Caenorhabditis elegans: one gene and its partners. The protein of the gene in region 3 purifies or fractionates together with the protein of the main gene of each other region. This does not show direct contact. Each region holds a gene or a part of one and is shown on either strand. Other genes may lie near its edges.

The links.
Region 1: the proteins of rsbp-1 (region 3) and gpb-2 purify together in Caenorhabditis elegans (affinity purification with western blotting, with the first as the bait; one study listed by BioGRID). This does not show direct contact.
Region 2: the proteins of rsbp-1 (region 3) and eat-16 purify together in Caenorhabditis elegans (affinity purification with western blotting, with the first as the bait; one study listed by BioGRID). This does not show direct contact.

What each region holds. Positions count from the first base shown.
Region 1 is NC_003279.8:7,315,977-7,326,162, forward strand, and holds gpb-2 (Guanine nucleotide-binding protein subunit beta-2), read right to left. Parts: upstream 5,110-10,186; 5' UTR 4,973-5,109; coding exon 4,896-4,972; intron 4,849-4,895; coding exon 4,760-4,848; intron 4,212-4,759; coding exon 4,075-4,211; intron 3,980-4,074; coding exon 3,861-3,979; intron 3,629-3,860; coding exon 3,436-3,628; intron 3,393-3,435; coding exon 3,174-3,392; intron 2,882-3,173; coding exon 2,785-2,881; intron 2,683-2,784; coding exon 2,504-2,682; 3' UTR 2,314-2,503; downstream 1-2,313. Other genes in the region: F52A8.1 (DUF2650 domain-containing protein), read left to right, coding at 1,672-1,914, 1,984-2,073; F52A8.3 (uncharacterized protein), read right to left, coding at 6,354-6,619, 6,782-6,939, 7,472-7,614. UniProt on the Caenorhabditis elegans protein: Guanine nucleotide-binding proteins (G proteins) are involved as a modulator or transducer in various transmembrane signaling systems.
Region 2 is NC_003279.8:9,719,180-9,729,720, forward strand, and holds eat-16 (Regulator of G-protein signaling 7), read left to right. Parts: upstream 1-3,541; 5' UTR 3,542-3,624; coding exon 3,625-3,645; intron 3,646-3,695; coding exon 3,696-3,815; intron 3,816-3,925; coding exon 3,926-4,009; intron 4,010-4,073; coding exon 4,074-4,167; intron 4,168-4,211; coding exon 4,212-4,290; intron 4,291-4,667; coding exon 4,668-4,964; intron 4,965-5,101; coding exon 5,102-5,215; intron 5,216-5,262; coding exon 5,263-5,773; intron 5,774-5,787; coding exon of another isoform or gene 5,788-5,801; exon of another isoform or gene 5,802-5,819; coding exon 5,820-5,905; intron 5,906-6,222; coding exon 6,223-6,238; 3' UTR 6,239-7,105; downstream 7,106-10,541. Other genes in the region: ocrl-1 (Rho-GAP domain-containing protein), read right to left, coding at 317-610, 1,149-1,266, 1,393-1,521, 1,572-1,666; Homeobox protein ceh-5, read left to right, coding at 8,038-8,181, 8,404-8,546, 8,591-8,708.
Region 3 is NC_003279.8:9,067,104-9,078,274, reverse strand, and holds rsbp-1 (Abi_C domain-containing protein), read left to right. Parts: upstream 1-3,197; 5' UTR 3,198-3,205; coding exon of another isoform or gene 3,206-3,403; 5' UTR 3,404-3,650; coding exon 3,651-3,692; exon of another isoform or gene 3,693-3,694; intron 3,695-4,289; exon of another isoform or gene 4,290-4,310; intron 4,311-4,879; coding exon 4,880-4,968; intron 4,969-5,051; coding exon 5,052-5,134; intron 5,135-5,602; coding exon 5,603-5,820; intron 5,821-6,513; coding exon 6,514-6,597; 3' UTR 6,598-6,711; intron 6,712-7,370; 3' UTR 7,371-7,425; downstream 7,426-11,171. Other genes in the region: chaf-1 (Chromatin assembly factor 1 subunit A dimerization domain-containing protein), read left to right, coding at 35-388; T06D10.8 (uncharacterized protein), read left to right, coding at 3,206-3,403; rad-54.L (DNA repair and recombination protein RAD54-like), read right to left, coding at 8,218-8,301, 8,593-8,667, 8,711-8,822, 8,944-9,041, 9,469-9,810, 10,201-10,367, 10,679-10,787, 10,833-10,940 and 2 more.

The DNA of each region.
Region 1 (10,186 bases), 1.8 Mb from region 3:
CTTTTCTTCCCTCTTGTGTCCTAACAATAACCGTCATCTTCATAGCCATCTAAACAACGAACCTTCCTACATGTTCACATTTTTGGGTGTGCCCCAATTCGATTGGTTTTCAACGACATTTCTATCTTGATTGTCTCATTTGGTCTTCTTCTCCGGCTACTTGTGGTCGAAACCTTCATGTTTTTAGTTATGTACTCCTGGTTTTTTGGATGAAAAAAAATCGTCAGTTATGCATCAGAAGGCCGACATAGTGTCATGTTTCTTTCCCTAAATATCTCTCACAGTGTTCATATTCTCGTCGAAAATATTTAAAAGGGAAACGAGAAGAGCTGAAGGTTTTAATGAAACCCTGCAGAGAAGAAAGGGTGATTAGCCATTTTCTTTGTGGGTCGATTTTCGGCTTTTTCGGGTCAGCAGCCCTTTCAATCATGTCACCTTTCGCTTTCCTATATGATAACCTCTTTTGGGTAGTGAAAATAGCAGATCTACACCCCATCCTTCTCATTTTCGTATTCAACGGAAATTGAGAGATGAAAGAAAGGAAGGAAGAAGCCGTGACGGATGACCAACCGATTTTTTTACTTCGTTCTTCAACGGTTCGTTCTGTCTCTCTTATTTGCATTTATATTACTAGCCACTGTTCAGTCACTCTTTTTTTACACATTGAGCTATGAATCACAACTGTATGCGTTGTTCTTTCTTCACATACAACAAGTATAAAACGCTAGAAAATTTTCAGAAACAAGTTTCAAATTTTTGATTTCGCAATAATGTTTTGTTTCCGAATTGTTCGAAAAAAGTGCGACGTTTCTTTCTTTTCTTTTTTATTTCAATTGTTCACTTTCTCTAGCATGGATTTCTTGCTAGCCGTCAGTTTGATTTAGCTAATAGCCGGCCTTTTTGTTTTCGTCGTCCTTTCTCCTCGTTTCCAACCTGCAATTGTGAATTGTATCAACCTTGTATCGATCTTACAACATTTGGAAATCAAAGTCGCAGTCATCATTGGTTTGACCTTCTCAGTGACCGTCAGTCACTTTCTAAACGTTTCGAAAACCGATTTAAAGGTGTACAATTGGCATACACCAAAAGATTTATCTAGTTAGAAAAAAAATTTGCTTTGTGGATTTTGTAGGTTTTTCTGTTTCTATTGAACCACAGCTTTTGCATTTGCATTTTTAATTATTGTTCTAACTACTGACGATGTTTTTACACAGGAATATATTTGCAAATAGGTAACAATGGCAAACAAATTCCAAAACATATTTGCCAATCTCATATTCAATGCAACTTTTCTTGAAAGCTAGTTACTACTGTTGTAGAATATAAATTCTACAAAATAGGTAGTCAGAACATTTACATTTTTACTTTCTATTACATAACAGTAAATTATAGAGTGAAACCTGTTGTTACATTGGACTACATCGGGAATAATTGCGGAACCGCGTCAGGCAAATTCGCCATCTGAAAGCTAAACTCTGCTTTTTTCCGTTATTCAATCTTACTCTATCTGCTACCGAGACTAGTTGCAGTAATCCGATTCAATTCCATTTCCATCTACTCATCATTTTCTTCTTTCCCATCTCATTTCTCCCTTGCTTCGATTTATTTTCTATCATTTGAAAACTATTTCTTATTCGTTTCTTTTTTTTGAACATTTTTGCAATTTCAGAAATGTCGTCATACACTCTTCCACTGTTCCTCTTCGCTATGGCACTTCTTGCCTGTGCCCCATCAGTCAGTGCCGAAGGAGATGATCTTCTCGACTACGTCAAATCGATTGAGCCACTCACGATCAGAAGGAGTCCATTGGCATGCCCACTTCCAGTTGTCGGACAAGCTTGCCCAGAAGAGAACGTTTTCTGGTACTTCAAGTGCTGCGGACAGATTGCTGATCAGTGTTGCTTCCGTCTTCAGGTAATAATTCATTTTTCAAAAGATCTGCTGAAATTTAAATATGTTAATTTCTAAATTTGTTTCTTTCAGGATTGGGTTACTGTTCTTCTTCTCTTCCTTGCCGTCTGCACGATTCTCTCGATCATCATCAACTGCGTCAGATGCTTCTGCTGCGCATAAGTATTTGACTTATAATTTTCACATTTCTTCATCAAATCTTCGGGGCAACAGTTTTATCAAAATTTCCACTTTTCTCTTTATAACCAATTCACTGAATTTCTTCCTTTTAATATTCTCTGATAATTTGCCATACGTTGCTCATTGAATACTCTACTTTCCACACTTCTTTCTTTTTTGTTATGTAATTTTCCTTTCCTCACAGTTCACCCTTGCCTTTTTGAATTGTATTTTAACAGGTGTATTTAGTGAATTCTATTTACATCATTCAGCAATGAACGAGTACTTTACAGTATTTGTGACTAGAAAGTTGAGATAGGAGAAAATAGTGGGATGGTTAGATAATAGTACAGGGATAGAGACTGGTGGGAAGGGGGATGAGTAAAGTGACATAAAGCTCAAAAATTGTAAGAGAAAAATTAATATTAAATAATCAAGCCCAAATGCGAATTGTGCAATCCCAGCTCGCCGAGCAGACGGCTGTTCCATCAGGAGAAGTTCGGAGGCAACTAATACGATTCTCATGTCCATAAAGTACTGAATGACGGGCGCATTTCAGCGAATCCCATACACCGACACGATAATCACCATAACCAGCAAATAGAATACGACCTGTAATTTTTTAATAGTTAGAGTGAAAAGTTTAGTTCTGTGAATTTCAGAGATGCATTGAATTGATTTGGACTATACGTTTTTGTGAAGATTTAAACGTACCGCTCAAACTGAAATCGACTCCATTTACGGGGAACAAGATTGATTCTTTTTCATACACACATACTTGACGATCTGCTCGAAGATCGAATAAGCGACACTGGAAAAAGTAATATTTTCAGACAAAACAAGCAACTCTCGCGACTTTCTCCCAAACTATAATTTTCGAAAAATGGAAGAATAACCGTGAAATTTAATTAAGATTCTCTTGCACGGCCATGTGTCGATTTACGCAGCTCGTGTACTCCCCGAGGAGAAGTGGGCATATTGTCACTTCTTCTCGAGGAGTACACTAGCTGCGTAATTCGACACATGGTCGTGCAAGGCTTCCATAATTTCCCATCCCTTCTCCAATTTTCAATAATGAAGAAGTTTAAACACTTGTGACTTACAGTAGCATCATCAGATCCAGTTGCAAATGCATCACCATTTGGATGAAATCGAACAGTATTAATATCAGCTTCATGTCCTTCAAATGATTGTACACATTGTCCTGAACGAATATCCCATACAAGAGAATGTTTGTCAGCTCCTGCGGAAATAAATGTATTTCCAGTATCACATTTTGGAACATCGATTGCAAATACATCACCAGTATGACCATGGAAATTCTGAATTTTTGAATTGGGTTTCCGATTCGCGAGAATAAAAAACCTGAATAAGTTGTCCACTTTCAACATCCCAAATAGCACATGTTGAATCTCCACTTCCAGTTAAAATAAGATTATCCGAACGAAGGAATGTACAACATGACATATAAGAAGTATGAGTTGCTACTTGTCTTTTCTTTTGAATTATATCATCTTCAAAAGAAAGTGGAACGACACTGCATTTATTATCAAGTCCTCTGTAAAATTGGAATTTTTGAAAATTCAAAAAATAATAATAAAAATTTTTAATTAATAACATGAAAGCTTCAAAATTGGTAAAGTATACATGAGCCAATTTTTGAAAATTCCGTCTGTAAGAGCTCTTTTATAATTTGAAAAAAAAAACAATAAATTCTCATGAACACTATAAGTCCGTGTACTACCGTTTGTATTTTTTGAAAGCTTTGAAGTATTTGAAAGAAATCTTACCCGCAAGCGATCATTTGACTCGATGGAGAGAATGCACATGCCATAACCCAAGTTGTTGGCATCGTAAGAGCATGTTCCTTATTCGTAGTAAATCCATCCCATACAATCACTTTCCCGTCCTAAAATTTACTAATTTGAGCAAATTCATTTTAGAAATCGAGGTTTCAATTTTTGAAGACTACTGAATCTTTTGTAAGTCATATTTTAAACCAACCTGAGATGAAGAGACGATATGTCTTTTATCCAATGACCAATCCATGCATAATACTTTTCCCACGTGTCCTTTTAAAATTCGACGCTGTTTTACACCAAGAGCTCCCATAACGTCAAGTCGTTCGGCTGCTTGTTGAACTGAAAATTACTTAGGATGTAAAAAACTACTTAGTGCGTTTTGGGATTACTGTAGTTCTTGGTAATAGTAAATTAGGCATAACCTCAAAAAAGTCAAAGAGAAAACATTTAGAATTATGCAAATATCACAAAGCATATCTGGTATCTTTTTGTTCATCAAATTATTTAACTCAAATTTCTTTAAAGTTTTCAAAAACTTTTTTCAACTTTTTTCAGTCAAACAAGTTCTCAAAAAGTCCAACTTCACCTAGATTTGACAATTTACCAAAACTTAGACGTAATTTTTGGTGTGTATTGATATTTGGGCAATTATAATATTCGGTTATGAAGAACCGCATTGATATTTTTATTCAATATCCTCACTGATTGTGAGCTTTTAATTCAAAAGTTTATTTTTTCAATAAAAAAACAAAGAAAAAAGACTCCGGAGGATTTCTAACCTAGGAATTGTAAAGTTCAATTTTTTAGTAGTGTTCTTCTTCAAAGTCCCTCTTTTTAAATTGAAGTATTCTAATAAATTATCTTTTTAATTTTTTTCAAATACTTACTAGGAATGTCATTAAGCTTGTGCCTCTCTTGATCCAATTTCTTTCTAAGCTCTTCGGCTTCATTTGCCAATTGTTCTAAATATTCCGATCTGAAATAATGTAGTGTAACCCTTTGTAATGTAAAATGTACAAATACCCTTTTTCGGTTGTTGTTGGCTGAGAGTTTTCTGGCATTTTCGACGAGGAAGACGATTCTCCAGCAATGGTGCTCATTCAAATTGCGTTTCTTTTTGAGATCAGAAGACGAATTATGCAAAAAAAGGAAGAGAAGACTGAGGGTTGAAGAAAATGAATTTGAATAGAACAATTAGAGATGGGCGGTTTGTTTGAGGTTTAGAGGCACATTTTTCCTGAAACATTGCTATTAAAAAAATAAGTTTGAAGTAGCCAAATTCTTAAAGGACATGCCTAGAAATGTAAGAAATATATAGGAAGATCAAGATCATTTACATGATTTTGGATTTTAATTTTTTATTTGAAACAACAAATTAGACAACAGTTTGGCACAATTGAAACGAGCACAATGTAAAAAGAATTTGATTTTAAACCAAAAACATGTTGATAAGGTAATTCAAAATATCGTACTACCATTACTATTAATTTATATTTGCCTAAGGTTTTGCAATGATCGGAGTTTCACACATTTTATAAGTAACGTTTATAAAAAATAAAAGTAAAAGCCTTTTTTGCAAAGTTATTCTGTTGAACATGCTCAAAAATAGGATGGATGTGGCTACATTATCATTAAATTATCATAAATTTGATGGTATTGATTAAGACAAAACTATATTCGCCACGACAAAAAGCCGTCGAGGGCCCGAAATCATGGTGCAATGAATTCTATTTGCGTGCCTTACTCCGCTATGTCTCGCTTCTCCCTCTTCACTATTTTCTCTATTTCTTTTCTCGTTTTGCCGAGCGGTCCTTTTTGCAATGGAAAGAGAATGCAATGCGGTCGCGTCGCGGTTTCTGGGAAAAAGATGAAAAGAGACGGAAGAGATGTGGAAAAGAGAGTGGCTCGAAGAACGGGATGAGTTAAAATTAGGCAATGCACATGTCTTGATGGTTTTTGTGAAGTGAAATTAATTATAAAAAAGTGCTAGGTTAGCTTAAAAGTTGAGTAAAACCAGTTTAAAAAGTCCCACAATCGTTTTAGGTTTTTTGAAAAAATAAGTTATGGAAAATTGTCAAATTTTTGCAACTTTATCCTTCGCAGGGAATAGCATTGTGGAATGCTCTAAAACCTACAATATTATAATAAAAAAAGGCATAAGAAAAATAGGAAACTCGTATAAAACATATTTTTCTGTCTACTTGCAGAGTTATGATGTGTGAAAATGAGAATTTACCACTTTTCGACAGCGCATAAACATATTCAACTTTTTTCTGAAAAGCTTTACTATGATATTGATAATTAACAATGTTATCACTATAGAAGTGGTTTAAATAAATTCCCCACTAAAACCAGAAATCTAGACTAGCTGTAGCTGTAAGACACTTCTTGTACACCGGTAGTTTCAGTGCCAATAATTTTAAGACTCAAAATATTTATTCAAGCGTAATATACAAGCAGAAAAAGTGAAAGACAGAAAAATTAATATCGAGAAACATTGTAGGCATCAGGTCGGTGAGCAGTTGCCGGAGCCGTCGACGAGGTATAATAACGATCTTCAGCAGAGAACATGACCTGATCACCAGGAACCATGACACGAGATATTTCAGAATCTCTTGGTGATGAGTCCACGTGGATTTGACGTGGAGCTTGACGAGTGTGTTGAATATAATTAGCATTACCAGGAATATTATCATAATTGACAGGAATTGGAACAGGAGCAGATTGGGCAATGATAGGAGATGAGACTAAACTGAAATATTGGCTATTTTTACTGAATTTTTTAGTTTGTATGTGAAGCAGTTAGAAATGTCTCAAATCTATGAAATTCAAGAAATTTGATTGAACTGAAATGCAATTTTGTCTAGAATATATCCACTGGAAAAATTAAAATTGACAAGTTGAAATACCTTGTTGAGTATTCTTTCTTTGATTTTTTCCTCTGAGCCCAAACCATCCAGCGAACCAAATTCCAGCAATACACACACATGGTAAGCAACAACAAAAGAGCAATAGGCATATTCCAACAATTATACCAATAATCCTTCCGGCATACCAAAAATCGTCACTGCAACAAGAACCCCTACAGTGATACGTACCAATTGCTCGTTATGCTTAGAAATTATGAATTGCAATGGAATCAACATGAACGAAGGCTTCCATGATCAAAGGATTGTCTTCAAGTAAGTGTCTACATACCTATCTAGAGCCTAATGCCTGCCTTCTGCCGCCTCGAACTTCAAAGTTTAGTGTACTGTACAAATTATATTTTTTGCTGCAAATATAAGACAAGTGTATTGTCTCTAAAAAGCTACATTTGAATTGCCGATTTTTTAAAACAATACAGCGAAGTGATTTGGTAAAAATAGTGTTTTTGAAATTTAGTTTTTAGCTCGGATTTTACCGGAGCTGGCTAATTTTGGCTTAACTTTTCTCTTGTGGATTAACATTTTGAAGTTTTGGTTTTATGTTCCCTCAGATAAATAAAATTTTTAACCTACCAAAAAATACTACTCTGTATAATCTCACTTTTAAAATATTGAAAAGCAAGTAGTTTTAAATGTATGTCTATTCCATTGCAATTCCATATATAAACTCACCCATACATATCATATCCACCATAATAACTTCTCTTGGATCGTGTGAGAACTTCCTCAGATTGCTCACAATTTGCCATCATAATAAAAACAGTTAACAGTAACATTATAGATTTAATTGAAGAGGAGGAATTGAAACGCCACATTCTGGAATAGAGAAGTTTTCTGCCGTGAAAGTACTAAAGTTTAAGAATTATTTGTTCCTTTTTATAGCTTTGATAACCTAGGTGTGTCTTTCATGTCAACATGATATTGGTACACGCTCAATTGCCTCTTCTTTTACTCATTTTTGAGGTTAAAAAGGTGGAAGAGAGAGAGAGGGGTCACAAGATGACCTGGCAGGTGCCACGTCATCACATGCCGAATAGTTTCGGTTCATAAAATTTTGATAGAAGGAAATTACATGGTTGTGAAGTTTTTTTTATTTTGAATTTTTAGATAACTAATTCCGAGTGACCACTCAAGGTATAACATTTGACATTTTACAACGTCAGCAGAACCAATCTAATATTTTTTCTACAATTGAGTTTTTGAGATATTTGCACCAGAAAGTCTAAAATGGACTGCCCTATTTTACTCTGATTTTCAGAAGACTTCTGCTTAATCCAGATTCAGCTCACCAATGGCAAGGCAAATGGCCACCCCAAATTTTTACCATTACCCTTTTAGGATTTTTTAATAACTAGAAAAAACATAAACTGAATAATGTTAAACGTTGGAGTTTTTGCAATCTTTGAAAATTGCTCAAAACTCGGTCAAAAACACATTGCTTACATATTTTGTAAATTGCACAAATTCGAAAATTGTAAACATGCACTAAATGCACAAAAATTTGCGCAACTCGTTTGCAAAGGCTCTCTGATTTTGGAAAATTTAAAGAAGTTTTAAAAAACTTTGAATGTTATTGAAACGTTGAAACGAACCTTGGCAAAGAATCTGACGACCTGACCTACTAGTGGCAAGTTTGAAAATGTTTCGTTTTGACTGTTCTGTCTCAGGTCGTAATCAAAAAAGTAGGCGTGACCAGGAATCCGGCTCCAAATTTGTGTGTCTGTTTGCAGTTGTAGACAAGCTTGACGCGTACTGTAGAAGACGACAAAAGAGATGGCGGAGACAAGTGCGCACTTGAAACGGAGAGCATTCCAAAACCAACCTGATCCTGCATATTGCAATGAAAAGCCGCTATTCAGAATGTGTTGATGACGTAAAGTTGAAGTATTGAGAGCACACGTGGAAGGAATCAAAAAAGAATGCAAGAACTGTGAAGGAGACATCATGTTGGCGACATTCCAAAATTTCATTCCTTCAGCTACATTACTTTATAAAGTAACTATCATTTACTATATATAAAGCGCTCATTCCGTTTGTACATAGTTTGTAGTCTATGTAGTCTTTGTAGTCTGTGACGTTTTGGCTTCTGGAGGGATAGTGAGTTGGGCTTAGTGTAGGGATATAGTCGGGGTACTGTAGTGGTACAATAGTGGCACGGTAGGAGTACTGTATGATTACGGTAGCTTCAGAAAAATTAGTTTTCAGCTCCAGAAGTCGGGGGCCGCGCCGGAGGTGCGGACCACGGCTGGTTACTTTATAAAGTAACAAGGAAGGAACCGTCACGTGTCAGGTATCATTTTTCAAATGTGAGAACGGCAGGAAATCCGATACAGGTTGTGTCGTCCATGAGCAATTCTCGAAAACTGAGCAGCTCCATCGACTCCCCAATTCCCATAAGTCGGCTCTCGTGAAGATGTCGTCATTTCAAGTGCACCAAAACCGCCTCGATCAGTCATCGTCCACCCACAAAGATTTCCGAAAAAAAAATCTCCGGTTTTTCGGGAAGAATTGCCGAAGAAAACCAGAAGAAAGGATATAAATTTAATTTAGGACGCGAGTGCATCCCAAAGCTCTCAAACTACACTCATCGTTTCTTTTTTCTCTATTCATTTCCTTTTATAGCCATATTTTGTCTGTTGAAATTCGTGATATGTTGTGAATTTTGTGGTGTTCTTGGCTGTTTACTGACTATTTGGCAAAGAAGATTGATTGTCACATTCAATCTTTTTTGAGATGATTTCAGTTTCTGAATTTATTTGCTCAAATTCAAAAAGAAAGAGCTCATATTTTCCGTTCCAAAAAACTATTGTGCTCATATATATGTATGTTTTTTTTGAACATTTCGATCTTCAACTTGTGGTGTTTGGGTAGATTTACTCATATAAAATTTTCACATTTATACTAATTTTTAAACTGATAGGCGTCTGTTACCAGGAATTTTTAGGAATGTGTTTTTGGGTTGATTTTCATAACTTTCACTTTTTCTGGGAAAAGCCACAATCCCAAAAAGAATGAATCAGTAATTAGAAAGCCTAAATTGTTCGCTTTAGTGGATCAATTTTTCTGATAAGTTAGTTCCATGGAAAAGAACAAATACCAAGGATTCGACTTTCTTCAGAATACATAGATCCAATTCAGCGTCTCGTTTTCGTCTGTTTTCAAAATCTTCTAAATTGAGATCTAAATTGAAACTCTTAGCCCTCCCGCCCACCAAACCTACTTCCTCATTCATCCTTCTTGCAACTTTCTCGTGATCTTCGAAACATTCAAATTTAATTTCCCTGAACAAAACGTTACTCCTTGTTGCTTTTTGTTCCCCATTTTTTTCTCCACTTTTTTTTTCTTAAAATGCAATTTTTGGTAAGCTCTTTTTTGGAGAAATTCTAG
Region 2 (10,541 bases), 650 kb from region 3:
CTGAAAATTTGAATTCTAGATATTTTACAATATGATTAACTGTTTGATTTTGTTTTTTAAAACATTTAAATTCGAAGACATCACAGAACAAAAACAAAAAATCGAACTTTTAAAAGCTCGACTTTCATTTTTGGTTAATCTGCTATATAATTGAAAAAACCGAAATAAAAAATAGAAAAATCGAATTTTTTGAGTTGGATTTTTCATTGCTTTCTCGATTTTTTTTTCGCTTTGCATATGAGAATAATTTTGGTTATTTTAAAGCAGAATCCTCAGTTTAAAAGTTTCTTTTTTTTTTAAATGAAAATCAACTCACCAAACCTTCCTGTTGACTTCTCGGATAAAATACCATATCATTGTAAATATCTCGAAAATCTTGATTTCTCCGTTCTAATTCATTGTTACCAGCTGCGAAATGAGCATTCACAAAGCAAACCCAAGTGTCATTCATTTTCATTGAAACTGCTGTTCCTCCTTTATTACCCAATTTGTTAACTAGAACTGATATTCCCGTTGCAACATATTTCACATTCACATCACTGACTCGTACTTTGCTATTAACCGCTTGAAAAACGATTACAAATATTCCAACGAGACGCATTGATCCTACCTGAAAAAAGATAGATAATGGGGTACGTTTGCAGATTTTTTTTTGAATAGATTCACAACTTTTTTTTTGGCTTTTTGGTCGGTTTCCAGTGCAATTTTCAAAAAATCGGTACATTGGAACAGCTTTTTTTGTTGATTTGAGTATCTTTTCAATCGATATGTTCAAAAAATCATAAAATTTGATTATTACTTATTAAGAGTGAAAGATAGATAGATTTTCAAAACTTTTGTTAAATGCTAAAAAGTGTGCGCCTTTAAAAACTACTGTGGTTGCAAACTTTCATTTCTGCAGATTTTTAATCGATTTTGAGGCAGTTTTTCGATAATAATATTTTATTGTTATATTTGAAAACTTTTTTATGAATTTTATTGAAAAATTATGCAAAATCAATGAAAATTCGGCAAACAGTGTACCGTTATTTTTGGCGCCTGCAAAATTTTGTTTTGTGTCTGGACAATATTAATAGAATTTTTTAACTTGTATTTTTTTTCCGTTTGACAGAATATATTTTTATACCAATTTTCAATAAACTGCTCACCACATTGAATTGCGTTCGTCCTCCTGGTAAAGAACAGTGAATCGCATCAACCCATCCTTCCATTTTCTTTGTATTGTCAATTATATAAGTTCCAACGGAAAGATCCATTTCTTGAAGACTGAAATTTTTAGTGGATTGAATACTTTAGCGTGTTTGTTTTTTAAAAATTCATTACTACTTTTTCCTTATCAAGAATACTTCCTTATCAATGAATATACTTCATAAACAAGCATGTAAAACTCACCCAACAGCATAAAATTCTGCGATATCCTCGGGTTTTTGAGAAAACCATGTGGGGAAAACTGACAATGGGCTTCTTCCATTCACATTAAATGTTGAAACACAAATTTTGACATCTTGAAAGGTGCAGAATCTGTAAAAAGGTAATTAAAATATTAGTTTAAGATTTTCAGAATAGTTTACTTATGCATCCATTCTCTCATAACTTCATCAACTTTTGCATCTCTTCCTTCTATCCAATTACATCGTTGTTTCGTGTAAAACGTCGTCGTCGCCATCGTCACTTTGTTTCGAAAGAGACGTTTTACGTCTTTGACGACGCTTCTCTTCCGATTTTCTCTGAAATAAAACCAAAATTGGCATTTTTATTTCAAAAAAAACTATCTTTAACGATAAGAAAACTACAGAGCCAAGCTAAATGGTAGTAAAATCAGGAAAAAAGTAAAACGTGATGAACAAATACGATGTGACCGTCTAGTTGTCTCGTCACTCTCCTATTGCCAGTTCTCTCTATCTCTCTTTAGTGTGCAAACACCGAATTGAACACCGTATCCATCAACACATTTCGAACCTATTCAGTTTTCCCAGCAATATAATACACAGTTTATGGGTTGTTTATATTCAAGTTTCTCCGTCTTTTTCTATTGGAAATGAAAGATGATAACTCTGCGAGCGAAAAGATGATCGGAGGTCGATTCGCATGAATTTCCCATCGGAAAATTGAAAATCAGTATTGATTGAAACAGGAAGAACCACAAACGAATGTGTTAATTTATCACTCTTTATTATGACGATTTGTTCTGAATCTGGAACATAAAACTCTGATTAATAAAACCAATAAATTTATTATTTTATTTATTCCGCAATTACTTTCTTTTTTTTTTTGATTTGACAACCCAAATTATATTTTGGAAATTCTATTGAACTTTCTATTTATTTTCTAATCAACGTCGAAAACCGGTAGATCCTGCTGTGATGCCTAAATTCTGTACAGATTTCTCAAAATTTTTAGCAGATTTTAAGCGGATTTTAAGCGGATTTGAGATTTTCCCAAATTTTTTTTAAGTACTGAAAATTTCAAAGAGAATCAGCAATCGACGGAAGAATGTTGATCCATTTGCAGAAGAAAACCGAGCAGTCAAATATCCCAAAAGATTACTGAAACTATTGTGTAATCAATTTTCAATGCCCTGAACGAATATTAAAATCAGAATCAAAGATCGTTGACAATGTTCGCAATAGTTGAAATACGAAACAATCAACCCGTTTTTCACTTTTTTGACATTTTTTCTCCAAAAAAAAAGCTAGATGAGGGGAAGAGTAGAAAGTAGTAGTATCCTTCGCCTACCACCACTACCAAAAAGCAACACACACCATATACATGTTGAAGAGACTGAGATGTTAAAGGGAAAAGAAGAAGAAGCTCGTTGTCGCTGTCGTCGTCTTCGAAGCCGTAGCACATCGAAATTGAATAAAAGGGGAAAGAAGTGGACACAAGAGACGCAGAAGAATGAGAAGAAGCCTGGAATACTGCTTCTACTGCTGATTGTGACAACTCGAGACGACGAGATCGATCCGTGAAGTGAAAAGAAGGAGAAGCAGCAGCAGTAGCAGCACACGCACACACTCACTCACGCATCTCTGACACACACATGCACACACATAGAGGGCTCTCGAAGCCCTCTCGGAGCCACAGAGTAATTGAGAGAGTGAGAGACGTTAGACTGCTCGATTATTGGAAATCATTGGGCTGTAGGGGACCCGGCGACTAGGCAGAGAAGGGAAGGCGCCGCTCTCGTCGCCTGCGCTATTGACTTTGCCTGTCTGCGTTTGAATTCAGGAAGACAGCTTCGTCGTATGTCTCACATTCTCACTCAAAATCCACACTCACACACACACGCGCACAAACCCTCACTCTCCTCACCCGCTCACATATACACACATAAGCACCCCCTCGCCCCCCTCTCCGCCCACCACGCACCACAGCAGTCCCCCATCCCCGGAGAAGAAAGAAATAGAGAACGAGAGAGTCAGAGAACTAGAGATCTAAGCATTTTGGCCTTACTATTTTATTATTTTTCATTCCTATCATCTCCATCATCGTTTACTGATCTGCAACCGTATGATACAGTTCTCAAATATTCAATTTGCAGATTATTATTCTAATATTTAATTCAAAAATATCAAAAGCTGTCGAGCTGATTGAGACACGCTGCTCTCAAACCCCGCATTTTGTATGATGCCACCGTTGACCAAGGTATTTCATTTGAAGTTCAATTTTCTTAAAATTTCTTTTGAAAATTTTAGATCGAGGTGCTCGCGAAGCGAGTGATGGAAGGTGCGCAATTGAAAACGCATAAATACTTCCGGATCGCCGTGCCTCATGCCATCACCGGTCAGCAATTGATAGCTCTCGTTCTTGAGCGAGTGAGTTTACTTTCCTCTCAAATACAGCAGGAGCACTTATTTGAAAACTTATAAAGCTTCTGACAAGAAAATCACAAAAATTATGAAAATAAATTTTTAATTTTTAACAGGGTGCTCCTGACGATGAGGCTGAAGCGAGTCATCTGGCAAGTTTGTTACTTCACCACGGTTACATGTTTCCAGTTATCGAACATGTAAGTTAAAGACTGCAGTTTTTCAGTGTTTAACTTAAGTATTTTAAATTAAAAATTAATTCAGGGCCAACCTTTCAAAGACGATGGAACGTTATACAGGCTTCAAAGGCCGTATTTTTGGCCTTCACAGGCTGAACTGGTTCCGGATGTTGAATATGGTAATTCCAAGAAAAGTTATTGTATCTGATCCACTATATTTCAGCCATTTACCTCAACAAGCGATTGCTCCGAAATGAGCAAAAACACGGGTTAGAAGAAGATGAAGTTGAGTCATTCAACAGGTATGGGACATTATTTCGGACATTAGGAAAAATTATTTAGTCAGAAAATATTGAACAATCCTCACGACTTAGAAATAAATTGGTAAAGCTTCGCCAAGAAATCTTACTGAGATCACGAAAAATGTCAAAGTGTACAGAGATTAGTTTTGGCATTTTTATGATTTCAGTTTTGGAGTCGAAAGCTATTATTTTTAACCTTTTAAAAATTGGGTTTTTAATTTTTTGAACGTGCATCGCTGCAGAATGAAAAATCGAAATAATAATTTAATTTTTTTTAGATTATTGAGTTATCTTTCTCGAAATCTGAAAGTTATCTCTGGTGATAGAAAAGTATTTTGAATTTTCAATACATATGGCATTCAAAAATAAATTTTCAGACTTGCCGATGTTCTCGCACACATGTGGGCTTTCATCGTTCAACAGTCTGAGCTTCAATTGAAGCAGCAAAAAGAAAAAAAGAAAGTGGACAAGGTAGTGTTCGATTCAGAAGAACGAGCGTTTTGGAAGATACGAAAACCAAGTCGTGGTGGACCAAATTTCCTAGAGGACCCTTATATGAAAATAGAAAAGAAAATACGACGGCAGAATGCACAAGGTTATAGATGTCTTATGGATCGATTACGATTTGCAATCAAGACAAAGCCATGGCTAAAAGCATTAAAAGCATCGGATACGTGAGTATATTCAATCCAATTGTAAACTTTTCCTAGCTGAATCGAATCAAAATATGTATTATTAAGATTGAATTTCGAACTGATAATGGATCAGATATCAAAAGACAATAGATTCAATTAAATAATTCGTGTTTCAGAATGGTGACGTGGGTTGACCAAAGAGCTGAATTCGATCCATTCCTTCACCCTCCACAACCATCCAATCCATGGATCAGTGATGAAGCTTCATTTTGGAATCAGCCTACTGACACGTAAATTATTATTTAATCTTTAATCTTTATTGCAAATACTTTTTCAGGTCAAGTGCCGAGATCCCTACCGAGAAACGGGTAAAACGATGGGGACTTTCTGTTCAAGAGCTTGTGAAAGATCCTATAGGACGGCAAGTGCTCGAAACATTTTTAGAATCCGAATTTTCGTCGGAAAATATACGGTTCTGGATAGCGATACAAGATTTGAAATATGCACCGAATGAGCAGATATACCAGAAAGCTGAAAGAATACGAGAAGAATTTTTGGCTCAAGGAGCACCTGCACAAGTAAATGTAGACAATAGAACCCTCGATCAGACATTGGAGTGTATTTCGAAAGCGAAAGATGCTTCACAAATGAGATTCGCATTCTATCATTCTGAAGAGCACGTGTTCACATTGATGGCAAAGGATTCATATCCACGTTTCGTCCGATCCCAAATCTACAAAGCAGTATTGACAGCAGCGCAACAGCACGGAACAAAGCGACTCGGGTGGCGCAACTTCGTATTCAACATGGGTACAACTAAAAAACCAGCAACGAGTAAACCAGCAAAGGCAAGATTTTCCAGGAAATTATGTATGAAAACTTTGATATCTTCAGCCGCAAGATTCCATCGGGACTGGTCAAGTTCTCCCAAAACAGCTATCGTCCGACTCGCTGCCAGTTCGACAGGCTCATGGGGTCAAGTAAGTTGTGGAAATATGTCAGAAAAATCTATTAAAATGGGACAATCCTACCACACGAACAATTAACTCCAAAACTGTTAAATTTATATATTAGTTAAGCTTTTGTTCAAATAGGATAAACTGGCGATATACACCTTTAAATATCGGCTAGTTTTTTTTGAGTTAGTATTCCCAATCATTTTTTCTGTAACCTGTTGGTGCTTAAATCTCCTGTCTTGGCAGTTGCCATGAGATTTTTTGGCCAAAGACTAATGACTCAAATCCATCAAAGCTAAACTCATGACCTACTCTCTTCAGCTCATTTCTTTATTTTGCAGACCGGATCCCGAATGACGTCATTCTCTTCTCACATCTCGTTTCTCTTTTCTGCGTGTACGTACGTGTCTGCGTCTCTCTGTATATTCTTTTTCACTTTTCCCTCTTCTTTCTCAAAAAAAAAACCAAATCAAATAACGACCATCAAAAAGGGAAATCAGTATCCTCTGCATCGGTTTTACACGCAAATTTAAATATTTCGAAGCGAACCATTTGATATGTGTATTATCAATGAACTTCTTCTCAAAATTAACAATCTCGAACCACCCAACACTGCATATTTTGACCTTATTTTCTCTTCCAAATCGATCGATAATACATGTAATTCCACAGTCTCTTCAGACTCTTCTAGTCCATCATAATCCACATCTCCTGCCAGCTTCTTCTTCATTTTCACGATATACTAATTTGTAATCCTATTTTCTCACAAAAACGTGTACAAAGTGTTATATTTCTTTCTATTACCCATATTATTTTAATCTTTTCAGAAAATCAATTTTTGTTTCCCTCATTCATTTCACACAGAGTTCTCCTGCTTTTTTGGCACACTTCTCGTTTTTTTTTCAAAATTTTAAAAGTATCTGTAAGGTACCGCTAGCGTATTTAGGTGTTTCAACCTAACTTTTTTCAATTATATCTACTCAAAAATAATTTGATTTGAAAATGGTAATTCGCACCAAAAATGACGATATCATAACGTCTCAGTTCTTTTTTTTTCCAAAAATCATATATAAATTTCATTTTCTCTTACCCTCTACCTGGTGTGATTGTCTCAAAAAAATCAACTTTCAGAACCGGAGTTGTTACATAATATATTATTAATGTGTCAGTATATCATTATTTTCAGCTTTTTGTAGGCGTTGATGTTCAATAAAATTATTTATTCTTATTTTTATGTCTGTGTTACACCTTAATATATATTCGAAACTATGGGGAACTCTGGGAATAAGAAACACAAGGAAAGGGTTTTTTGAAGAATAAAAATTTCTTATATTACATAGATGTCTGAAGATGAAAATTTTGCGGGAAAAAACAACCAAAATGTGCTACGACACGGGAAATTTTTGGAACAATAGAGATTTTGAATAAATTTACAGAATACCGATTATGAGCACGAACGGATTCCGCAACGGATCACCCAAAATCAAACAGTGGGAAAAGGTTTTAGTTCACTTCCATTAATAAAATTGTCTGGATATATCTAATCTTCCAATTTACAGAAAATCCAATATGTATTAAAAATTCACAACGAAAACCCGGGGACCCGGGGAAAACTATTGATTTATCAAAATTATGTTGATTTTTCGAAGAGAAAAAATATAAATAATTTCTTTTTTTTTAAATTGAACCTTTTCCCCGGAAAAATCAAAAAACAGACACCATTTTTTTGGTACTATAATTTCAAGTTTTAAACTGGTAAGAATAATCACACAGCAGGTGAAAATGCCTTCAGCCTGAAAGCTTTATACTAAATTGGAGTCACGGAATAGTTGAATAAAAAAATATCCTGGGGATATTAGCGATTCACCTATGCACTAGCTTCCTATTGTTTTTAATGCAATTATTTACAGTCTAAGCATCAAATATCTTGCAACTCTCAGTCAAATGAGTCAATTCAAAAGTGTTTTGTTTTGTTTCTATTCAAACTTGGCACTTTCTTATCCTTATTCCAAGAATACAATTAACAATACGTTGGAGTAATTACTGCTGACAGCCTGCTAGTTCCCACCCACTTTCAAGTATCATCCTGTGATGTACCATATGTTGCTCTTCTCAGCTCATTCCATTTATTCACACTTTATTTTCTTGATTCAACTATGCCTTCTGCCGATACAGAGTTCATACGAGTTATTCGCATCAAGAGTGCTAATGGTTCAGAGAAGATGCTTGAAATTCCAGCAAAACTTGATTTGGAGAGACCGAAGAGACCGCGTACTGTATTCACCGATGAGCAATTAGAGGTAAGGCAGAAAATGAAACTGTTGAGATTGTTTAAAAACGATTATCGTTCGAGAAGAAGTTAAAACAAAGCTCGAATTCAGTCACAGCAATCGCTACAGGTTCTTCATTTTACATATTTGTACATCTAATGTAGATCATGAAGTTTGTGACATTTCAAATTTTAAAATGAAGAGATTGCTACAAAATTCATCATAGGTGTTTTTGAGAATCACATTTTTCAGAAGCTAGAAGAATCATTCAACACTTCAGGCTATCTCAGTGGGTCGACTCGAGCAAAACTAGCGGAATCCCTTGGTCTTAGTGACAATCAGGTCAAAGTTTGGTTTCAAAATCGAAGAACCAAGCAGAAGAAAATCGATTCTAGGTGAGTCATTACTCTAATTTAACGGAATATTCTAGGAATTTCAGAGATCCTATAAAGCCGGAAACATTGAAACCTGCTGAAAACTATCAAAACGTCTATCAGAACTATCAAAACTATTGGACAGCCGCTGCATTTCTATCAAACAATGTCATTTCGTCATAATCATTTCGAATTTCAAAGCTACGATAAAAGGACAAAGGAAACTCACCTTTTACTGATAATCTTTCCTTTTTTGTCGCCTCGATTCGGGCTCGTTTGCTTTTCTTCTTGATGTCTGAAAATAATAAATTATAAAAGTGTTTAACATGGAACGAACGTTGGGAGAATTAATCACGATAGCTTGAGAAAAGAAGACAAATATCAAATTCACTGTTAATTTTCATTAATTATCCGAGAAAACATTTTTCGCTGCGGAAACATAATAAAAAGCCTAGGAGTTGAACGTTTCTAAATAATGCTACGTGGCGCCTTTTTTCTGCCTTCTTCCTATGTTAAATATGGAATGTGCAAGGGTCGTCACTTTTTGCGCACAAAGTGTCACAAAAAATTTAAAAAGTTGGGTGTGCACTTTCGTGTCTAACTTTGCTGTACCTGCACATTTTTCAATTTTCTTTTTTGTAGGAAATAGAGAATCGCTTTTTCTATCTTACTATCTAAATGGTTATTTGATTTGATTTTATCTTTTAAGAGAAATTCTTGATGAAACACGAAAAAATCACTTTTTTCGCGTGTCGTGTCGCTTTTTTTGCACACGTTTAGAGGTCATAGTATAAAATGTTTTTGATAAGGTAACTGTATATCTGGGATTGTTAAAAATTTTTAGTTTTTGCAATTTCATCTATTTTGAACTGAGTTATGATGATTTGAAAATCGGACTCGAAAAATCCCGGAATTTCGAAAATTGCGTTGAAAACATGTTTAACGTTCGTATTTTTGTTTTATTTTACATTATCAAATGTAAATTTTAACGTAGATTCCGTTTTTCTAAATAGTTTTCTCATTATCCAACCGGAAAGTTACGAAAAAAGCATAAATTCACGATTTTTCAATGAAATTGTGCGAATTCCCCCTGGTGTTTTTGGTGTGCAAATTAGTGATTTTTGAGATTCTTTCGCCTATAAGTCGGTCAGTTTGGCACTTTTTGGGGTAAATTTTTCGAAAAACGTATTTTTCAGGAAATTTACTCTTCAAAAATATAATTTTTTTTACAAAAAAGTCAAAAATAACTTCAGAAATCGCAAATTTCATAATTTTCTCAAAAAAAATGACGTTTTTGCTGGAAAAATAAAAAATTTTCCACTACCGAATGGGATTTTATGTCAAATTCGTAATTAGTACATAAATACCGAATGCAAGCTGAAAGCACAGCTCTCTACGATCATTTTCAACGATTTTAGTTTATTTAATTTTTGACCTCGAAATTTCAATTTCCCTCTTTTCCTGGACCAGTTTTTTACTGAAATGTGAATGTTATGTCCTAAATCTTATTATTTTTGCTATGAGAAGCGAGACAAACCAAAAAATTTTAGTCTTGAGTTCCTCGAGCCGCGTTCCTGAAGTTGTAGGCTTCAAGCCTTGCTCAGGAAGCTCAAAAGTTCATTCTTGACCAATTTTTAAATTTTCAAATGCTATAATATTCTACTTTTGACGCTGATTTTAAATATATACTTTTCTTTTTCCAATTCCTATTATGAGCTGAGTTACGGCGCTTTCAAGTTTCAGCAATGCCCACCCGCCCCTCTTTCCTCCCCTTTCTCTTGCCTCCTCCCTCTCATGCATAGGGTGGCTGTAATATGGTCTCTAATTACTGTTACGGGATCAGATATGTATATTTTACGACATATCTCTTAATAGAAGAACAATAGACATCGCCACATTTGTTTTTGTAAGAGGTCCCCAATGGGCTGTAAAACAGTCTATCCACCTTTCTTCCTGCAAGAAAGGAGGTAATGTATTTGAAACTGTTCATTTATTGTAATTGAGGGGTTGAAAATT
Region 3 (11,171 bases):
ATATTTTGACACATTTAACTTGATTATTTTTCAGGAAAAGGATAACGACGATGACGATGGTGGTGAGGAAGATGATGGATTCTTTGTTCCACCGTGTTATCTTTCGGATGGAGAAGGTGATGAAGATTCGACATCTGATAATGACATTGCTGGAGATAAAAAGAAGGAAAAACAACCAAAAAGAATCACAATTGATTCGGATGATGATGAGAATTCAACAGATGCAGCCGAACGAAAAGCTCGTCTTGCTCAACGTGCCGAAGATTGGGCAAAGAGAACCGGTAAAAAGGAACTGGCAATGAAGCCAAGAGCTGTTGGACCTGTTTTTAATAATTGTGATGATCAACCAGAAGAATTTAAGTTTATGATTGCAGTCAAGTTCTACTAATCATTTCCGAAAGCTATACTAGAATCGGATTGACAGTTTTAGTTATTCTACTGTCTAATTTTTTATTTAAAATTCCAATCCTTTTTAAATATGGTTTTCTTTCTTTTTGACTGTGAATGTCTCCCTTGCGTCCCGTAGTATTTATCATTTTCTGTTCGTATATTCCCTTCTCCTAACCAGAATTTCATCTAAATTTATGATTATTTTCAAATTTAATTTCCCGAATAATTTTAAAACTTGTATTTTCTGGTGTATTTTTCATTCTCAAAGCCAAAATGGTGGACGAGAAGAAGAAGGAAAAATGAAGGAAAAAAAGAAGAGGAAGCCCCTTTCGTACACACACACACACACACACGCATATACGTACAAAATAACGAGAGAGCCAGACGACGAGAGCTCTTCGGGGAAGAAACAAGCATGCGAGACGCAGATACGTAGACTACGAGTTGCGTGCGAAAGAGACTACGCGTCGCGTGTCCCGCGCACGCGACGCGTCCCCTTGCTTCTTCGAGCTCTCGATGTATGGGGGTCCTTTGAAGCTTTTGGGTTTCTTGGCACTTCTTGGAAGATCTTTCATAGAATAGTTTTAGCCATTTTTGTGGTTATATTTAATACTTAACATCGTTCATCTGATCTGAAAAAAAAAGAAGATAAATTTGATATTCAAATTCCTCACTTATTTGCCAATTAGATTTTAATTGCTCTCTTCAAACATTCATTTTTTAAAAAGATAATTATGTTCAAAGTACACTGAAAAGGAAAATAATTCACACATTTCGGATCTTTATGGAACATTCCTGAAAATGTTACCGATTTTTTGGCATTTTTTCGTTGATAATTGTCAAGTTTTATACTTATCAAACTGTTATTCTTATCTATACAATTTTCAAATATACCTGTATCTACCAAATCTACCAATTTACTATGCCCTGTTCTATATGTAACCCCGCCTTCTTTCTGGTATAAATGCCAAATTTGTTTTTTAAGTTGCAAAACCCCCTTCTTAAAAATATCTGAGTGGTATTTTCTAAAACTAAATGATTATTTTAAAACTGTTTCATACATGTAGGAAAAGTAAGCTTCACCTATTTTTTGAGGCATTTTATTTTTTTATAATGCGATCGGTATTTCTATAGCTCGGAGCAATTTAAAATTTTATTTTTCGTTTTTTTTAAATATTAATATAATGTACATTAGTTTCTATGAAGTTGAAACTATAAAGTTTTCATTTGGATTTGCAGTTTATTTTGGAAATCTCAATACTATTTTTAAATGAAATTCATTTCCTTGCTACGCTCCAATAAAACCTACATTGTAAGACTGTAAAACTAGATGATTTAATTAGATGTAGGTTACAACTATAAATCAATCAATTCTCTGCAAAAAATACGCACTCCTTCTGTCTCTCTTTCTATATGTATCTCACTGGCTCCAATGCTCTCTCAATGCTTCCTCAAGTCATTATCGATTCTCTGCATCTATGAGTCTCTCTCTCCGCCACTTTCTTTCTCGTCGCAGCTTCACTGAGCCACGCAGAGCAAGAGCAGGGGGAGCAATGCGCCCTCCTTGTGCTCTTTTTCTCTCTGTATCTCTCTCACTCTCTAATATCTCGCCCTTTCTACACAAAATGTGTGTGCATCCATCCATTTCATGCTTCTTCTTCTTCTTCTTCTTTACCACCGAAAAGCAACACAAATAGAAAAAAGACGAAAATAAGAGAATGAGAGACACAGAGAAGATATGTATACAAGCAGAGAATCGATCATCTATGCTTGACCAAAAGCTGAAATTGGTAATAAAAAGGAACTGTAATAAACATTTTAAAGTAGTGTTGCTATGAAAATTCTAGTAAGATTCAGCACTGTCAAAATATTAATTCAAAACATTACCAAAATTTTTAAATAATCTAGAATAGAGCTATGATCTAATACTATAAAATACCGACATTATTTTCTAGAACAAATTAGAATTTCAAATACTATTTTTCAATTACAAATTCTCATAATCCCCAGTACACGAAAAATGATGGGTTTTTTGAAATGTCAATTCAAATTGAAAAACCATATATTTCAATCCTGATTGAGTATGTCGATGAGCATTCATTTTTTAGAACCTCCTTCCCAATTAAATTTTCAATAGACGCAAAACGTACTCACAATAATTTGGATCTTTTTCTGAATAACACACCAGAGACTAATTCTGAGAACTGAATCTATTTAATATTTAAAAAATTAGTGAACAACAATTATCATTCATATCCATGAATTATTGCTTTCTTTTTCTTACAGTCCCTAAAGTAAATTTTTTATTTTACGGTTCCAATAATTAAACTAATTATTTTCAATTTTGGAGCTACATTAACCCTGTCGCTTATATATGAACCACAACTTTCAGTTTTACAATAAATATTTCAAAACTGAACTTATATTTCTACTCACAGGTTAAAAAAAACTGAATTCCTTTGAGCCTAAAAATTATTATGTAATAATTTTGAAGTAACTCTAACTATGGGTGTTGTAAAAATATTTTTTTCAGTGTTTTTTTTAAGAAAAAAAAGGAAACATTGGATACCTATAAAAAGACGAGCAATAAAAAATACCCGGGTAACTATTAAGAATATGCTGACTTTTATCAAGAATATGCTGATTATAATAAGAAATATAGCAACATTATAATTTTTAAACAAAAAAATGCAATCTAAAAATGTCTCGCTTTAAAAAACCTAAAATATTTCTCTAACCACCTATACAGTTCTTTTACTAATTCTTCTCAAGTCTTTCTATTTCAAATTAAATATTAATTTTTACAGAAACTGTTTTGACAATTACGTGCTTGTTTGACCATTCACCTCCTCCTCCCCCACCCGGTCCTCCTCGCTCCCCAAATTTCTTGGCTGACATTTCCGTTCAGGAGCTCGTCAGCTCGGCGCGCAGCCCGCAGGAGGTGTGGTGGGTGGTCGGAGGACTCAATCTTTGTTCTTCTGCCACGAGGAGATCGAGAATTGTAGAAGAATAAACAAAAAAAGAATCAAAATAAGAAATATACAATAATCAAGACAAACCACGGAAACTGTAGCTGTAGTGTGATCTTCTAAAACAACACAAAAGCTTCACCACACCGCAAACGTTTATCATTGGTCTCGGTTTCTCGACGTCTCCATTCTTTTTCTCTATTTCTCTTAATCTCTACTACTGTCTCGTACTTGCTCGATTTGGACACACCGCGGTTAGGCTTCTTTGAATAAGGTGGCACTAACCGCGGAATGCGACAGCATTCCATGGCCAATCCAAAGAAAATACAGGAGGTTTGTTTCCATTTTTAAATTAAACTGACAGTGATTACGTGGCCAACAAAAGTTGATGTCCGAACTTTCCACTATTCGCGAAACTCTATCTGTGACCTGAAAATTATCATCATAAAAATAATATAAATCAACCGTGTAATTTTAAAAGGAGGTGCATAGTCAGTAGTAGTTCAGTTCACAAATACATTTATAATAGTCTAAAATGCCCAAATACCATAAATAAACTCTCAAAAATGTTGCTGAGTTTCCAAATTTTTCAGTCAACGTTTTGGTAAATTGCCAATTTTCAAAATGTGGACTTTTTGATTATGAGTATTTTTGTAGGTTTAAACTCCTAGAATGGTTAAGTATGTACAAACAATTAAAACGCAATACAAATATAAAACTAGCAGAACAATTTTTTTGGTAGTCTTCCAGAATTATGATGACTGAAAACTGAGCTTTCACCTTTTTTTACTGTGCATATAAACTTTTAAGTATAATTTTGAAAAGGTTTACTATGATTTTTGAATAATTTCTCAACTTCAATAAAATAGACTTTTGAAATAACATTTTCGAGAAATTGGTAAATTGCCAATTTTTGTAAAGAATGAATAATTTCATACCAAAACGTCCAACTTCTTCAATGTTTGAATTCAAATTATCGAAACAAAATTAGAAAAACCGTAGAAAAAAAGGGTATAGTTATCTACACATGTATAGTTTTTATCAGAAACAATTATCTCCCAAAGGCCAATTTTAGTAAGAAAACTCGACTTTAAAAAGTAAACATTATAAAAGAAAAAATAAATTATCTAAAAATATTAAAATTGATGAAAAGAAAAACAAATTTGCTTGAAACTCGAAAATAACAGAAATATTTCAAAAATCTTCAAAAAGAGTGGGAATCAAAAATCCCTCCATTCCGATCAGAATATGTCTCTATTTTTCTTTTCGTTTACCATACCATCACAGATGTTTGACTAAATACTTGAGAAAACGAAGCACAAAAACTGTTCACGGATACCTCAGATCGTCACCGCCAATCGCCATCCGCCCCCGCTCACTTGTCGGTGATCCGATATATCCCTCGGGGGAGGCGGAGAAATGGGCGGAGATGACAAACAATCGGGGGCGGGGATTGGGTGTGCAGCCACGTGTCATGATTTTTAAAAATGGAAATAAGAGAAATGAGTACTGTTTTACAGCTGGTGCACGAGTGCAACGTGCAACTTGCACTCTTCCGTGTAGCAACACAAGGAATCGGAACCGCCCAAGATGGTGCATCATTAAGGAGGTTTGTTGCTTTTTCCCCTTTCTTTTTTATTTTATCTTCAAGTTGTTTTTTTTTTCAAAAAATCTATATATCGAATATTACAGGGAAGTCGAAACAGCGGGTCGAGCCTGTCAGAAAGCAGTTGAAGCAGCAAATAATGTTGTTCTTCCGCAGTTAAGGGCAGATGGTAAGAATATATTTGAAACTAAAAAAAAGGTTAATTTGGGAGAATAATTAAAAAAAAATCAAAGACGTTGATATGATAATTCTTGTTTTAATTTTTTATTCAAAAAAATTAAGTTTTGAATGTTCACTATTACAATGTGCTGTAATTTCATAATTATAAAAATTAAAACTTTTCGAAAACATTTTTTATCAAGATCTATTTTTATCAGCATTAATTTGTTAAAAAAATGCTTAAATATTATAGAAATGATATTTTTCAAAATTGTGCCATGAATTTTTTCCCATTCTGTTTCAAGAGTAGTTCGATCGAAATTATTTCTGATTGTGAGCAAAAGTAATGAGACAGTTTTATTTTTACAATTTTTGTGATTGAATATTATTTCTTGTTTTTATTTGAAAAATATAAACTCTTTGTAGCTTCAAAAATATTAACTTTTTAAGGTTTAATCGTTTTAAAAATAAATTTCAGAAGCAGAAATAGCTCGTCATGGATCATTATTTATTGGATGTGTTGGTGCATATCTGATAGAAATGAAACGTTGTGTAAAGTTGGAAAAAACATTTCCTGCTCCAACAGAACCATCAGTAACACCTCAACAAGTGGAAAGAGTTGAAGTCATTTTGGATACTCTTGAGAATTTAATAACGGTGCATTATTCGACAAATGAGCAACCGTGTTTGGATAAGGTAAGACTTTTGTTTTAAATATTGAAAACTACGTGCAATAGAGAATTATTAAATAATATCGGTTACTGTAACTCAATAGCTCGAGAGTTTCTGAACTAACTTAATTCAAGTCGATGTTCAAGGCATCGTCCTTGGGAATTTTGTAAAACAACACTCATAACCAAATATTTAACATAAACTATTTTTTTGGGCCAAGCTTGGGCAAGCCGTGACAATGAGGAAATTTTTTTAATTAATTATATGTATAGTTTTAAGATAACCGAATATTATAGAACAATAGTTCCACACATTTTTTGAATTTTTTTAGTTTCAGTAAAAAAATATGCAATTACGCACAGCCAATTTGCACCTATCATAACTTTAAAAGTCGATTTAAAAAGTTTTTTCTCTAGGTTTTCAAAAAGTATTATGCTTCAACTATTTATATTTGAAAATTTTAGAGGTTCTAACTTGATTGACTTTATTTTTAAATTTCAAAGTTTTCAAGTTTTCAAAAAGTTTGGCAATTTACCAAAACTATGAATAAATGTTTCGAAAATTCTAAATCATTTTACTTAAGATATTTCTCTTGTTAATTCATTCCGAGTATATTTTGACGAAATCCCCACTGGCACTTTCAAATACAAAATAATATATTTCACAACTCTTCGGCAAAAAGTTCAACGTTGCCCTAAATAATGTTAAATATTTCAGTTGCAAGTAACACCACGAAGAAGGAGAGCCACATCGTGTCGACCGCAGTGCGTATGTTCAAAATTGAAAACGAGTTATGCATGAAAAATGAATAATGAGCTCGAATTTCACAATTATCAAAACGGATCAACAAGCCCCGCCCACTTTTCTTTCGGTTTTCTTCACGTTTTTCTCTACGCCAATGTTTCTTTCTTATAGGTAAGTATTTGAAGTTTTGATCTGAATTCTTTAGAGAAATAAATTTAAAAAATGTTATGCAAAAAATTAAATAACGTCTGTGAACTTAAATTATTGAAAATGAGTTGTAATGAAATTTTTTTCAAAAAATTTTAAAGGAAAAATTGAGTAAAAATTACGAGTCTTCTTCCCAATGCATTGGAAAATAATATTTTTTCAGAAAATTAATTTTTGAACAATCTAGTGTACGCTAATAGCGTTTAATAATCTTTTTAAAAAATTAAATTGCTTTTGAGGTGTAGTATTGTGGGAATTTTTCTTTAAAATACCCAAACTAGTCTGAATTTCCAAAAAGTAAAAAAACAAAAACAAAAAAAAATTTACTCGATTTTCAAATTATGATTAAAAAAAAAAATATCTTGAAACTTCCTCGAAAAATAAGAACTGCAAGACCAATCAGCGAATCGCCCCGCCCACTTTTGCACTAATGAAATTAGAAGTGGGCGTGGCGTTTCCTATTGGAGGAAATTCATTCCCAATTTTTAGAGTTAGGTATTTTTCATTTGTACTGATTTTCTTCTGGATATTTTAAAAGCGAACTTTCCATTTACTCTACACCACCTTAAAAATGTAGAACTTCATAGCTACAGTAACCTTACAGTAACCCAAACATTTTACAGGTGCAGACATTGCTTGGCTTCATCTCCATCTGGTGTCTTCCATTCTTAAAGCCACAAAAAAGTGTTTTCTTCAAATTTTAAATTTAAATAGTTGTAAAATCGCCTAGTAGTTTTGTAACTTTTCCATATTTTTAAAAAAATTTCTTCTAGTCAATTACCTCAAATAGGTTAACTCAAACCTGTAAAAAGTGAACTGATTCTGACCAAAATATTCCCCCAAAAAATTGAATTTTTTGCGACATTTTGCATATTTATTGTCTAAGTCGAAGATTGTCGATTTTGATTTTTCAAATTTGAAAAAAAAATCGATCGATAATCAACATTTCCGTTTTATTTACATCATCAAAGCTCAAAAAATATAATATATTCATTTCATACCTGTTGGCGCCTGACCTTTCCCGGAAAATTTAAAGTTTTTATTATAATAATAGGCATAATTTCTTCCCTCAAATTACAAAATAATGTCTTTTTTTGCATAATTTTTTCCTCTTTCTCAACATTTTTCATGAATTTTTTTTCTGAAAATTTGTACATCGTATCAATGTATTTTTGTGCAAAAAAAAACTACCAACTACCCCTTTCGTTTCCAACCCACCCACAATTTGATCAAAGTTTGTCTTTTTTTTGTCTGAATTTGAAAAATAAATTGAAAATTCATATTGCAGGCGGTGTATTTTACATGAGATCGGGCGATAAAAATGATATTGGGATGACTTGGAACAAAAATTGAAAGAAACAAATTAAATAAATAACAAAACAATATAACATGTCCCGTTTTCATCGCATAGATAGTCTATGTTATGAAATAGGGAGACTTCTAGATTTGTTTCAACTTGGAAACATTTAACTAATCGTCGTTTTCTTCGGCTTCAGAAGGCACGTAGTCCTCATCAACTTCTTCAACTTTTTCCTGAACTTTCTTGACTTCAACCTGCAAAACGCTATTTTGAAGCATGGAAATATTAATTCAATGATTCTAAATTATATATCACAGACAATTTAAAAATTACAGAATTAGAAAAATAAACTACACAACTAGAATTCGAAAGAATTTCCAAAAAAAAAATCCAGTCGGTTTTGGAAAATTGTTTTAGTCGACTTCCAAAATTTTGAGTGACAAAAACTGAGCAATTGTCACTTTTTGATTTCCACTTTTTTTTGAAACATTTTACTATTATATTTGGTAATTTTGGCACCATAGACGTAGTTTTTTTAAACCTACGTTGTGCGATTTCTGATGAAAAACAAAGGAGATCGATCCACATTCGAAGACGGCTCGGAGCACATTATCAGCCACCTGAAAATTAAAATATTTAAAAATAAAGATAATAAATACAAACTTTTCTAGCTGATTTCTGAGAATGAAACCAATTCGATAAATCACTTGCACAGTCCGCATTGGTTGGTGGATCAACACTTTCAACTCCTTGAATACATCTTTTACATTTTAATCTGAAAGAAATTTATACAATTGTACATTATAATGCATAACATTATTATAACTATCAGAAGAAAAATTCACCAAAAATAAAATCGGTTTTATAAAAAATATTATTTTCATTCTGATACTTACTTTTCATGTGTATCCGATGCCACTGTTGATTCCAACTTGAAGAGTTCTCGAAGTTGCTCGGAACTAAAATGACGAGCTACGTCTTCACCCGCATCAACCTGAAATTTTTAAGATAACTATTAAATACCCAGATACTGATAATAATAACCACATAATAATCTGCAATTTTCACTCTAAAATTAAGTTAGTTACCGCGTCTCGACACGACCAATTTTTCAATTAAAAATGGCGAGCGCCTTTAAAGAGTACCGTGGTTCTAGGTTTTTTTTCAGAATTTTCAGCAAATTAAGATACATGTAATACAGTATTTGAAAAGGCGAAAAAGAAATAGCAAAAAATTAAAAAAAAGTTTCACGATAACGAGGAATTGAGAACTACAGTACTCCTGAAAGGCGCACACTCATTTGCATTTGAGAAAAGTCGAAGCGGGGAACCGAATTTTTTGACAAAATCGCAAAATTTAACATTTTAGTTCTAGTAGTCTTTAGAACATTTTTAGATTATATGAACAAGAGGAAATCTTACCACACACGATGACAATGCTTTTTTATGTGTCTGACGTTGAAACATTTTCTCTTCAATTGATCCAGTTGCTAAAAGTCTATAGATGAAACACATTTTCTTCTGTCCATCTCTCCAAACTCTCGCCATTGCTTGATCGTCATTCGCTGGATTCCAATCCGGATCAAACATAACTAATCGATTGGCTCCAATAAGATTTAGACCACATCCACCAGCTTTCGAAGAAAGAAGGAAACAGAAGATAGTGCTGGCTGGATCATTGAATGTATCGACAATCTTGGAACGTTGTTTGATTGACATTGAACCATCAAGGCGCACGAAATCATAGCCACGAAGTTTGCACAGCTGAAAAGTGAAGAAGTTTCAAAGTTTAAGTGACCACGTTATAAGTCGGTCTAGATTTTAAAGGTGGTGAATTTGCTTCAAAAAATCCAAAATAGTCATACATTCCAAAAAACCCACAAAAGAAAGCAAACAAATCGCGAAAAAAAAAACAAATCGACATTTTAAATTCCTTGTTTTTTTGGAAAGTGGGCTTCTCATTTTGAAGGAAATTCAAACAGAACATTTAGCCGAACATGGAAAATTGATTTTTTAAAGTTGACTTTTTTTTTCGTTTTCTCCGTTGTGAATTTTCTGAATTTGAGACTATTTATGATTTTTTGAAGCGAACTCCACATTTAAGTCGGTCTAGATTTTTATCATAAATCATTTTTTTTTTGGAAATTCGCTTACCTCCATAAATTGATCAATTGTCTGTGTGTAGTTTGATACGAGAACAAACTTGTCATCAGTTGTTTTGCGAGTGACTGCGAGAATATAATCGAGAACTTTCATTTTTCCAGAAAACGATGGATCAAATGATTTCGGGTTAAATGATTCAGGGAATATGGATAGACATTCTGAAAATTATTTTCAGAAGTTTGTGAAAAACGGTGTCGGTTTTTCGATTTTTCACTAAAATCGTAAATCGAAACCTTTTTTTTGTTTTTCCGATATTAAAAATTTTTTTGAATTTTCGAAAAATATCTTAAAATTTTGGTTTTTTCTGAAGAATATTATACGTTTTCTTTTTTTTTTCATCAGCATAAACAAAGCTTTACGAAACATTGAAATTTATAGTTAAATTTTGAACTTTTTTTTCCGATTTTAAATGCTCCGATTTTTTCTTGATTTTGAATACATTTTTATAAATCTGAAATTCTAAACTCACTGTTTCTGAACCTATTATCAGGTTTTTGAAACTCATCATAAACCAAATATGGATGATTGCAAAGCTTTTTGAGATGAGTGATAAACGAAAGAGCAGATGCGGTGGCACCCTAAAAACAATTTATTTGTATTTTTTGAATTTTCAAACAAAATACCTTGTCCTTTTCGACAATGCGGTTTTGTTTTTCACATTCGATAAGTTTATTGTAGAGTGTCTCTTGAAGTGTTGAGTTTTTACAGCAGATGATGTGCTCATATTTAACCTGAAATTAAATAATTTTATTTAGAAATCAGAAACTTTCATATCATACCGGAAGATATTTTGTTAAAAGAGCTGATGTTCTTCGAATAATGCATTTCTCTACAAGTGAAATCATTTCCTTCGTTTTCTCTTCACCTTTCTTCTGATCTTCTGAACTTGCGTCGGCGTCGCGACCTCTAGAAAAGATCACGGATTAAAAAAATTGGGAATAAAAATAACTAACTTTAGAATA